3 linked regions of the Sus scrofa genome follow. The protein of the gene in region 2 interacts with the protein of the main gene of each other region in a pairwise test. Links are inferred from orthologs where the notes say so. Each region holds a gene or a part of one and is shown on either strand. Other genes may lie near its edges.

Region 1 (3,743 bases), on a different chromosome or scaffold from region 2:
GACTTATCAACACTTCTTCTATGAATGAAACATCTATCACAGGATGAGGAATGATGAAATAATAAGAAACAGAAAAAGAAATGTGAGTCTCTCAGACCTCATCTTTTCCCCAGGTTAAGGAGTGCTACAGTGTGAAAAGAGGGGAAATCTCTGAGGACCTTCACCCCCTAGGCAGGAAGTGAAAGAAACCCCAGAGTCCTGATTTCAGAGAAATGTCATTTGTCATCAACCCAAGAAAAGGAGTTTTTTCTCTTCGAAGACCACCGCAGGCCCTTCCTGGGGTTGCCCCCTTCACAGCCTGATAGGAGGATCTGAGTCACTCACACAGCCAGTTCCCAGTGGTGGCTCAGATGGCAGGGGTCATTCCCACAAAGCAGTCAGGGCTTTGCTAGTACCAAGGCAGGGAGAGGGAGCCGGAGACATGCCTTGGGTCCTCCTTCACACTCTCCTTGGAATCCAGATGTTTCAGTCCTTTTTACTTCTGAGGAAGTAGAAACAGCTTCCAGCTGCTAGAGCTCTCTTGACACCTCTGAGAAACAGAACTAATACTATCTGAGCGATGCGAGGTACCGAGAAACCACTTTCACATTCATCATGTCATCTTCCCGCCACCTCCAACTGTGGTAAGCAGAGGTGATCCTTATTTCATGGGTGAGGTAACTGAGGCTCAGAGAGGTGACTTGCCCAAGGTGACTCAACCAGTAAATGGCAAAGATGAGAGTCAAATGCTGGTTTGATTATCCCCAAGTTCTTATTGCTTCAGAGACCCTTCTATGACTCTAGGAGTTCACAAATGAATAAGAAGACAGGAGGTTAGGAGACAATGCCTGGGTTCTGGGAGTAGAGCCATGGTCTCTCCTGGAAGGGTGAAGTGGAGCCAGGGGTTTAAAACCACACCCCTTGGGGGATTGTGGCAGACTGATACTTGGGACACCCAATGGAAGGCTGTGAGGTCAGAGGCGGGGCTAGCTCGGGGGTGGGGGGGGTGGGGGGTGAGGGTGGGGAACAGGAGCCCCAACATCAGTTCAGAGCATGCGGTGTCCAGGAGGAAGCTACAACCGGTGAGTGGTGGCCTCTCCCCAGCTGAGACTTTCCTTCTATTACAGCTCCCTTTCGGTCCACTTCCTGCCACCCTGTGGCCCTCTCCCCAAGGTAGCCAAGCAGTAACCCTCCCTCCTATAGGGTCCATACTCACGGTGAGCCCACACCCAGGAATACGCCTGCTGGGCAGTGGCACACTTAGGTCTGTCCCTCTGTTTCTGAGTTCCCAGTTTTCTTAAAGTCCAAAGTGGTGGTTTTGATGTGTGATAAACTTCTGCCTTGTTGGGGTCTGTCTTTCTACTCTTCACTATTGGCTTATAAAAAACAAAATTGCATCATCTCCCTACCTAATCTTGAGAGGAAATGGCCTCTCCCTCTATAGTTCCCATTTCCCTTTCTCCCCTTCCTCAGGGGTCAAGGCTTCTGCAAGGTCTCTCCATCCTTGAGCGAGGAGCCTTGTCTCCTGTGGCTTCTGACCTCCTCTCTTAACTCACTGCATGGGATTCTTTGGTCTCTTCCAGTTCCTTCTCTGAGGATGGGTTCTAGAAGTTTTGGGCCTCAGGGAGATGATCGATTGATGCCTGAGAGCCTGCCCTCCTGTGGCTACGACCCCTGCCTTGCTGCCCTTTCTTCCTCTCGGGACCCTCAGCTCCGCCTGATGGGCTTGCAGCAGGGGGACATACTGAACTTTCTCCTGAAGCTGTATCTTGCTCCATCCCTAACTTCCAGGGCTGACTGGGTTTCGTGGTGCTCTCTCTGTCTGGAATGAGGGGCGCCTGGCCTACTCAGAGGTCTTTCCCTGCAGAGGAGCTTGGAGAAGCCGCAGTATCCATGTCTGCTTCCTTTAAGTCAGACGTTGCCAGCTGGCAGGACCCGTCTATTCTGGTCTTCACCCCACTGCTTGATACAGTTCTTAACCGTCTGGCCCTTGCTCTCTAAGTCCTGAATTTGGTCTAACAGCCATTCTCCCACCACCCCCACCCTGTTATGGTTCCAGAGAAGCTCAGGTCCTCTCTTGGGTTAGTCCATTTGCTCCCCTCAGGACAGAGAGTTCGGATTCAGACCACTCACTCTTTCTCCCCTCACCTCCACAGGCTTGAGAATATGCTGTTCCTCCCTCCCCTTTCTACCATGGACCCCACACTGTGGCCCTTCTCTCAGAACCTCTGAGATTGGTACCCAGGCAAGGCAAAATGCCCCTGTCCCCGACAAGACTGCCTAGTCCCTATGGCTCTGATCGGCTGGTACGGCTAGCAGCCAGGCTCCGGCCAGCACTATGTGATACCCTGATCACAGTGGGGAGCCAGGAGTTCCCTGCCCACAGCCTGGTGCTGGCAGGTGTGAGCCAGCAGCTGGGCCGCAGGGGCTGCTGGGCTGTGGGAAAAGGCATCAGCCCTTCTACCTTTGCCCAACTTCTGCACTTTGTTTATGGGGAGAGTCTAGAGCTGCAACCTGGGGAACTGGGCCCCCTTGAGGAGGCAGCCAGAGTGTTGGGGGTACAGTCCCTGGAAGAGGCGTGCAGGAGGGCTCAAAGGGACCCTGCCAAAGACGAGCTGGGTCCAAGGCTGAAGGAACAACAGAAGGAACCAGAGCAACCCATAGGGGATTCTCTGAGAGGAGTGGAGGGCTTTGGAGAGAACCAGAGAGCAGAGATGTTCTTTAGAGCTGGTGAGCAAGAACAGGAGACATTGCACAGGCACAGGCGACCAAGAGAGAGCCCTGAGATGGCAGAGACAACTTGGGAGGGTCAAAGGGAACAGATGAGACTAAAGGAGAAACTTAACCAAGCCCCCACTGGCCATGGGAAGCAAGAAATGATCATGCGGGTGAGGGATGGTCCAGGGGGCTCTGAGGAAAATCTGCGGGAGCTCCCTGGCCCCCTTCCCCCATCAGGTCCCCTCCAAACCGGCATCACCCCTAGGCCCTGGTGGGCTGAGGCCCCCTGGTTGGGGGAGGGCCTGCCTGCCCTGTGGAGCATCCTGCTATTGCCGCCCAGATATGGCACTCCCTTCTCCCATAGCACCCCCATCACTGGAGCCTGGCAAGAGGTCTGGCCTCAGGACCAGAGGTGAGTTGAAGGGCCTATGGAAGACCTCCAGCTGGGAGGGAGCGGCTGCGGACAGGCAGCGGTGAGGGGTGGAAGGGCACCATATCTCTCATCTCCACTATACACTTTCTGAGCTGGAGAGTGGTCAGGAAGCTCCTGCCACAGGGAAAGCCAAAGTTCAGCCCCAGCAGAGGACTCCTGACATTTCCCTCCCCAGAAAGGGCTTGGCCAGGATGCCAGGTGCAGCCAGGGCTGTAACCCTTCCCCATCCAACTCCCAGGATCCCACTGTCCCTGAACCTCCACAAAGGCCTCTGGAGCCAGAACCAGTTGGCCTCCTCCAGCCCTACCCCAGGTAAGCCCCTCACTGCCTGGCACGCATGCTGTAACGTGGTCTCTCAGCTGGGGCTGGGGCTCCAGGAGTTCAGCTGAGCAGGATCCGTACTTCACTCTGCTCCCTCCAGGTTCCCTCCCCCAGGGCCCCACAGCACTCAGCCCCGGGGAGATGGAGGAGGCTGATCAGAGGCACACAGGTGAGTAGGGTGAGGACGCTTTTGCCTCAGCCCCACTGTGGCCCCGGATGTCTGGCCTGAGAGTTTCAGTGATCCAGCTCTGGGATTCCCAGCCCTGCCCTCCTTTGCCTTTTGTCCCCACAG
Region 2 (3,743 bases):
AAGCGGGCAGGATGGGGCATCGGTCACGTCGGGCTTATGCCCTTCTGCACCCCGTCCCGGCTCCACCGAAGCGCCGGCCTTCAGCGGCCGCCCTCCCGCCAGGGGCCCTGGAATTGTCCCCATTAGAAAGAGCCCGCCCGTGCCGGATATCAGTAGTCACCTCTGGCCCGGCTTGTCTGGGAGAAGAGCCCAGGAGTTGGAGCCCTGGGCCTAGGTCCTAGCTGGGCAGGGCCTGCTCTCACAGCTCGGCTCCTGCTCGATCCCTACTGCTGATGTCACTGGCGAATGTACATTTTTAGGGTTCTTGGAGTTCTAAGCCAGAGGGGAGCTCTGCTTTTCTAGGCAGAGGGTCAGATCTTTCTAGCCCGAAGTTGAAGTTATCCGGTTGGCAGGGCGAGAGCCAGGAAGTGGTTTGCAGGCTCTCCACCCTCTTTTCCCCAGGGCTGTGTGGGAGTCCCACCGGGCAGGCACTGCACCGCCGGTTCTCGGCCTCAGCTCCAGGCCCCACGTCTCAAGGCCCAGAAAATCCCTCTGGCGGCAGCCGAGCAGGCCAGACCCACAGGCTCTAAGTGACCCTGGGGCTCTGCCTCTCTCTCTTTGAAGCTACACAAAACACATGCAGTCATAGAAACATCGAAGCATAAAGAAAAAGAATTTAAAAACAAAACACAGAAGCCTAGGAAAGCTCACAGCTCTATGCCTAAAAACATTAGAAAGGGTCACACACTCTTAAAAATAGGCAGGTAGAAACACAGCAAATGCAAATTAAGAAGCCAGAAACCTCCGTGCAAACACATCCCTAACTAAATACAGTGCTGTACGTGTATAAACTCCAGGCAGACACCGGCATTTATTTATCTGGGACTTAAAAAAAAATCAAGGTACTGTTGTAGATAGTTTTTTTTAACCCCTTCCCAAATAATGCTCTTCTAGAGGTAATTTTTAAATCCCAGAGAAATACAACACTCTAGTTAGATAAATTCCCCAAATCACACCCCTGTAAATGGACTTTGAGAAAATCCCGGACAAACGCGCCATTTTGGATTGAATTTTTAAAATGTCTCGAAGAATAACGTTGCATGCAGATATTTTAAAATTCCGGAGAAATGTACTTAGGATAGCAATTCTTTCTATACTGAAAAATACAGTTAAATTTTAAAGTTTATCCTCATAGACTTGGTTGTTAAAAGCAATCTGTAACGATTTCTCTGAGCTTTAACAATAAAAACCAACCCAAGCCCACGCCTAAAACTTTTGAAAACAAAAGTACAGTCCAGCGCTGCTTACTTTTTAACCAAGCAACAGAACCTCTCAGAGAAAGTCACTTAGGGATGCAAAACAGAAACAAATAGAGATTAAAAACGCGTAGAGAAACACTCAGCGGTGGATTAAGAAATGAACGCAGAAGAGGCGCCCGTAGCCGAGAGAGCAGGGAGCTGGGCGGCGGCGCGGAGTCAAGACCGCGAGCGATTCCGAGACTCGGGAGCCGGGACCGGGCCGGGTACTAACCTCGCCACGGCCCGCGCCGCCCATCGCCGGCCCAGCAGCGGCCGGGGAATAAAGCTCGAGCCGGGACAAAAAGGTAGCGCGGAGGGAGACGTGCCTGAGCCGAGCCGGAGACCTGGCTGGGCGGCCTGGCGGCTCCGGGCTCCGGCGGCGCACGTGGGGCCGGGATCCCTGGCTTAGGGGGTCCTCGCCGGAGCCGGGCCGAGCCCCTTGGCCCGCTCGCCCTCGCTGTCCTCTCCTTTTCTGTGACCTTAGGTTGTTTCTCTTACTCCCTGTTTGCTTTTCTCACTTTTCCCGCCACCCCTGCTCTTGGGTCTCTCCCTCTCGCAGTCAGTCGCCCACGGTGTGTCGGGGTGTCAGTACTCTGCTTTCCTGGGCACTTTCTTTCGCCCACCGCCCCATTCCTTTCTGATCTGCTCTTCGCCTTCGGTCTGAGCGACCCGGGTCACCCAATTTCCTCCCCCACCCCCGCCCCGTTCTATTTGCTCCTGATCAAGAGGGGCTGTCAGTCCGACTCTCCGGTCGTAGGTTTATGCATCTGCCGGTCACTTGGCGCGTGGGGATCTCATGGAACTGTTTTCGGAAAGCACTAGATTTCTGTTTCTGAAAGTGTGTACATTTCCGCGTTCACCCTCAGGTACAAAACGGGAAAAGGAAAGATCCCGACGCTCCTGGGGTGTAGAGCGAGCCTGCCTGCGCGGCGCGGGTGCCAGGCCCTGCTCCTGGCTCCCTGCGCCCTCCTGCGGAGTAGGCTCCGTGCGCGCCTCGCAGACAGCCGCGCTTACCTGGCAGCTCCGTGTCGGACGACTCGCTGGCGGAGTTCTCGAGAGGCTCGCGGGGGTCGGCAGCGCGGGCTAGGTGGAAGGCGGGCCCCATGTCGTGCGGCGGCGGCGGCGGCGGCCGGAGCCCCTCCGGCAGCCGCTCCAGACTCATGCCCCCCTTGAAGGCGTCCATGGAAGCGGGGACCGTGGCGGGCGCTCCGGGGGCCGGGGCTGGGGGCACCCGGCCGCCCTGGCTGCGACCTGCGAGAACGAGAGCGCAGCGTCTAAGCGGCTGCCCCCCAGGGCTGCCCGCGCCCGCAACGACGCCGCGCCCGCCCCATGGACCGCCCGGGGCTGCGGGGCCAGGCGGGCGGCAGCGGCAGCGGTTTCTCGCGACCGGGGGCCCGGCTTCGCGCTCCGCGCTGCGCTCCCGCCGCTCGGGCCTCAGCCGCCCGCCCGGCCCCGGCTCCGGCTCCCGATCCGGGGCCGGTTTCTAAGGCTCCGGACCGCGCCGGCAGAGCCTGTCTTAAAGCGACAGCGCGCACCGCCAGGTTCCAGCAGTCCCTGCGCCAGGGGTGGTGGGTGGGGTGGGCCGGGGTGGGAGGGGGCAGGGAGGGAGGGAGGGAGGGAGGGAGGAAAGGAGCAGCGAGCGAGGGAGCGCGGGCGGAATCCAGCCCCGAGCCGCCCGCGCCGCCGCGCCCTCTCGGCCGCCCGCCCTCCCTCCCTCCCTCCCGGCCTCACCCGCGCCCTCCCCCTCCGCAGCCACCTTCCCGCCGCCTCCCCCCTCCCGCGGCCTCGCCGCGCCTCACCCTCCTTCCCCCCGGTGACACACCGAGTTCTCCCTCGGCCGCACAAAAGAAACGCATCTGGCCTGCAAGCCCCTCGCGGCTCGTGCCCACCTCAAGCCCCAAATGACTTGTTTCGCTCGAAATCAACTCCAGTCTGGGCCGCCTCGAAGTCCCGAGTCCCCGGCGAGAACAGCCCAGGCCGAGTGAATGTTCACCGAACAGGATCGCACCGACCGGTCGCCGGCGAGCCAGCGCCAGGGCGGGGGCAGAGCCCGGGGCTCGTTCCGGCAGCTCCCAGCCGCGTCCTCGTCCAGGGGCCGCCGGCCCCTCCTTTCCCGGCCTCTTCTCCCGGGACCCGAGCCAGGCTGAGTGACAGCAGCCCGCGCTCTAATGGGCCCCCGGATGCTGCCTCCTAATTAGCTTGGACCCTCTCCCCCAAGGCGGCTTGCTTCTCAGGCCTCCCCCCTCTGCACCACAGTCAATTTTCCGGGATTGGGATAGAACTGATGGCTTCTAATCAGACGAAACGTTTCTGTTGGCTCCAGGCCGCTGGCGAGTGCAGCAGGAGACCCCAAGAGCCCTGCCAGGCCCCACATCCCCTTCGAGAGGACTCTCTCCTTGTTTCGCCCTTTCAGAGGGCTCACCGAATCTGCCTGGCTCTGGCCGTGGCAACCACGGGGTGGGCCTC
Region 3 (3,728 bases), on a different chromosome or scaffold from region 2:
CCTCCTCAACCCTTAGACTGGAGTGGTTCTATCCCCTCCACCACCCCGCCCTCCTCCCTGACAGGCAGGGGAGGATATTTCTCCCAATTAGTGGGAATAATCCTCAGGTTCATAGGGCAAAGGCTGCCCTAGAGACAAAGGCACTGGTGTTGAGAAGCTGCAGTTCTTCCTGAATGGCGTGTCCAGCGTCCTGATGTTACTGACGCCCTGGAGGACAGACCCAGAATGAGGACAGACCCAGCTCTCAAGCCAGAACAGAGCAGCCTCTCCCCTTCTGCGCCCCCTCCCCCCAAACACCTGGTCCCTCTCACATACCGGTAGCTGCGGTGCCCTCTGTATCCAGAAGGTTTCAGGCTGCTCAGTACGGTAGTCATGAGGCTGTGAGGGAGAGATATGGAATAACTCTTGGCTTGAAGCTCCCTCTCTCAACCTCTGGGCCTGCTGCTCTCCCATAGGCTGTCAGGGCCCAGCTGGCCAAGTGGGGTGGGGTAGGTTCTTACCCTTGTTGGAGTAGGAGGCCCTGCATGCACCAGCTCCTTTCTGTAGTCATGATGTGTCACAGACTCGACCTCAGAGTCCTTCCTTGTGGCTTCCTGCTCTGCCTGCACCTCTTTACTACACAGGCCTGGGGAGTGTCAAGGCCATTTTCCCTTGATTTTTGTCCTCCCCCTCCCCTTTCCCAACTGCACCCAGTTTCTCACCAGATCTGGTGGCGCAAGAACATCTCCAGCATGGCTTCACGCTTCCCTGTGGGAGGTCAGGGAATGGACAGAGTGGGGGGGAATCTGGTTAAGACACAGGCCCCAAAGAAAACTATTTGGGAAAAGGAAGGAGAATCAGGTTTTGCCCTTACATCCATCAGACAATCCATAGTCCCACCCGATATTCCTTCCTCTCCTTTTTTCTCTCATGGACTCGTTCTGGTCCGTTCTCTCATACTTCGTACCTCGGACTGGCTGAGAGTGGTTTCCTGGGGGCTGGTATGAATCTTTCTGGGTGGTTCTGGAGGACATGGGTGACTGTGGCCACAAGGTCAGCAGCCCCTGGTGTCCATGTCGGAAAAAGAAACTCTCAGAGCCATCTTGCATGCTTGGGACTTGATCCAGGTGGTTGGTGGCTCTCTGTGGGTCCCAAGTAGAATGACCATGATATCCTTTCTGGTACCCACCCTCATCAACTGGGGGCAGCTTTCAAGCAGAGAGAGCAGGTCAAAACCTTAATACCTCCTCCTCCCAGTTGTAGAGAAGGCACTGGCCCCGTGGCAGTGTTTCACTGGGTATCTTACTCTTCCCTTCAACCTCAGAGGGCTTCCAGTGTCCTCGGGTGCCAGGTTCTGATACTTGCAAAAATTTCCAGGGTTGTTTCTGAGGCTCCCAGTGGCTGTCGTGACTCCAGGAGGCATAATTAGGGACCAGATCTGCCCTTGGGTTTCTGAAGCCTGGAGGAGCAGAGGAGCTGAACCCAGGGTCATGGCCACAGCCTGGACTATGCCTAGAATCAGAGGCAGGACCGGGACCAGTGCCTTCACCAGATCTACCACCAGGGCCTGGACCAGAGCCACCACCAGGACCAGAACTGGTGCCAGGACCAGGACTAGAGCTGGAGCCAGGAACAGGGCCAGAGCTGGAGCCAGGAACAGGGTCAGAGCTGGAGCCAGGAACAGGGCCTTGGCTAGAGATAGGATCATTTGCAGTGTAGGAATTTCGAGCAATATGGGAGACCTGGACAGGCTCAAAGCCAAGTCTCCCATGGCCTATCTTGTGGGTAAATCTGGGGGTGGTGTGGTGCGCCGCAGTAAGATTGTCAGAGAAGGGCTCCAGGAGAAGGCTCCGTTCTGAGTAGGGCGCTGGGGTCTGTGTAGATAATGCAGCTGCCTTGGCAGTGGAGGCAGCTGCAGTGGCTGCAGCAGCTGCTGAGGCTGCTGCAGTTGCAGCTGCCAGAGCCGACCTATGACGGCCATCCAAAGAAGGCAAGGGATCTGAAGTGGTCCCTAGTTCTTCGGAGCTAGGCTGTTCGTCTAAAGAGCTGAAAAAAAGTGAAAAAGGCAAAGTCGTCAAAAGGGCAGCGGGGGAAGTCCACTGACCTTCCTTGTCCCCTTATGCCTGCAGCCAGAGCTGCAGATCTCACCGCGATGGCGATAGCTCTGTGGAGTCAGTGGTTTCCATCTTGCGACACTCGCTACTGGGTACTGCGTTGCTATAGAGACGGCAAACCATTCCAGGAGACTGCGCAGAACTAGAGCTGGGCGGACGTGGAGGGCGGGGGTGGGGGTGGGGGTGGGGGTGGGGGTGGGGGTGGAGGCAAGTTCTCTGCGGGGCGGAAGTCTTGAATCTGGTGCACTCTGGGAAGTGCGCTTTCCATCCGGCCTGGCTGCTAAGATTCGCCGGCCTAAGGTCTCGCCCTTCATACCCGCGCAGGACTTTTGGAGGCTTTCTAAAGTGGTTCTTTGTGTTGAATACAGGCACAGTGCTGTGGAATCAGACAAAAGCCTACTTGATGTGTTTCTACAAGGGACAATGGTAGCTTCCCCTAATTTCATTCTCAAAAGTGGGGCATCTTTTTAAAATTTTTAAGGTGGAAAATACATCAGACAACAGCTTAAACAGAATGGTGAGACATGGGGCAGCAGATGTTTTGAGTGTGATAACTTCTCCAATGAAAGGCCCTCACCTTGACCCTCCTCCTTCCAGACCCCCTTATAACTTGGCTTGGTATCTGAATTGAGCAAGTCTTGGGATACTGGCTTTACTTATTCAGGCACATTCTTAGAACTGCTGCTTTTCTAGAAGTTTAACCCAGGTGGACCATGAGTCATGAACTCATAGATACACAGGCAAGTGCTCCTTTGACTGCATCATGGGCTTCCTTAGTGTTTCAGACCATAGTCAAGGGGGATCAAAGTCTTGAATCAGTTTTCTTTTCTATTTGAGGTATAAATCTTTATATATTTAAGACAGGGATCCAGAATTGAGGGAGAACAAGTTTATTGGCATCATTGGGTCCTGTTATTTCCCTACCCCGTCCAAGCATCCAAGTCTGGGGTCCTTGGTCCTTTGGTAGGTTCAACCTGGAGGCCACTGGAGCTGTCTGCCCCCAAGTACATGAATGTGCAGGTGATACACAGACTGTGCACCCAGCTTCCCATCGTTGATCACTGAAATGGTGCGTCGGGTTAGGGGGTTAAGATGGTCAAAGAATGAAGATCATATTGAGAGGTTAGATCAATTGATGGTGAGGGGCTCAAGGGCCAAATGTCACTCACCAAGTCGGTATCCATCTCCCAGTCCTTCAGCCTTTGCTGTCTTCTTTGCCACAAGGAGAAGGTGTCCTAAAAGCTACAGGGAAAGGGGAGGGAGACAGGTGGCTTCATTTACAGGGAACAAAACCTTTCCCTCAGCCAAACCCTGGCCCTGTTCTTCCCACCTGCTGGTCTTCTTCTTCAGCCTGGCTAATCCGGGGAATGGGCTTCTTAGGAATGACCAGGAAGTGCACAGGAGCCTGAGGGGCCACATCACGGAATACAAGACACTGGGAGCAGTGAACATGCCAGAGGCCACCATGTTAGTTCAACAAACTGGATGGTATTTATGAAATTCTTAAGGGGATGGGTCCTAAGGGTACCCCACCTGCTGGTCCTCATATAGAATGTCAGCTGGGAGGCTTCGATCCAGGATCCGGGAGAAGATGGTTGGGGCTGCTCCCCCAGGAGCTGCCCGCTGGGCCTTGGC

What was found.
Region 1: the proteins of PITX1 (region 2) and ZBTB32 interact in a two-hybrid assay, tested with the Homo sapiens proteins (2 studies listed by BioGRID). The link is inferred for Sus scrofa from reciprocal best matches to the Homo sapiens genes PITX1 and ZBTB32.
Region 3: the proteins of PITX1 (region 2) and SPAG8 interact in binary tests that used the Homo sapiens proteins (3 or more experiments, as listed by UniProt). The link is inferred for Sus scrofa from reciprocal best matches to the Homo sapiens genes PITX1 and SPAG8.

What each region holds. Positions count from the first base shown.
Region 1 is NC_010448.4:45,141,242-45,144,984, forward strand, and holds the start of ZBTB32 (zinc finger and BTB domain-containing protein 32), read left to right. Parts: upstream 1-998; 5' UTR 999-1,032; coding exon of another isoform or gene 1,033-1,061; intron 1,062-1,067; exon of another isoform or gene 1,068-2,135; 5' UTR 2,136-2,234; coding exon 2,235-3,109; intron 3,110-3,305; coding exon 3,306-3,442; intron 3,443-3,551; coding exon 3,552-3,620; intron 3,621-3,743. UniProt on the Homo sapiens protein: DNA-binding protein that binds to the to a 5'-TGTACAGTGT-3' core sequence. May function as a transcriptional transactivator and transcriptional repressor. Probably exerts its repressor effect by preventing GATA3 from binding to DNA.
Region 2 is NC_010444.4:137,204,213-137,207,955, forward strand, and holds the start of PITX1 (pituitary homeobox 1), read right to left. Parts: upstream 2,461-3,743; coding exon 2,292-2,460; intron 1-2,291. UniProt on the Homo sapiens protein: Sequence-specific transcription factor that binds gene promoters and activates their transcription. May play a role in the development of anterior structures, and in particular, the brain and facies and in specifying the identity or structure of hindlimb.
Region 3 is NC_010443.5:236,529,349-236,533,076, forward strand, and holds the start of SPAG8 (sperm-associated antigen 8), read right to left. Parts: upstream 2,834-3,728; 5' UTR 2,217-2,833; coding exon 2,128-2,216; intron 2,026-2,127; coding exon 1,224-2,025; intron 1,122-1,223; coding exon 947-1,121; intron 748-946; coding exon 702-747; intron 616-701; coding exon 501-615; intron 379-500; coding exon 316-378; intron 208-315; coding exon 88-207; 3' UTR 1-87. Other genes in the region: HINT2 (histidine triad nucleotide-binding protein 2, mitochondrial isoform 1 precursor), read right to left, coding at 3,063-3,154, 3,263-3,335, 3,424-3,528, 3,627-3,728. UniProt on the Homo sapiens protein: Microtubule inner protein (MIP) part of the dynein-decorated doublet microtubules (DMTs) in cilia axoneme, which is required for motile cilia beating.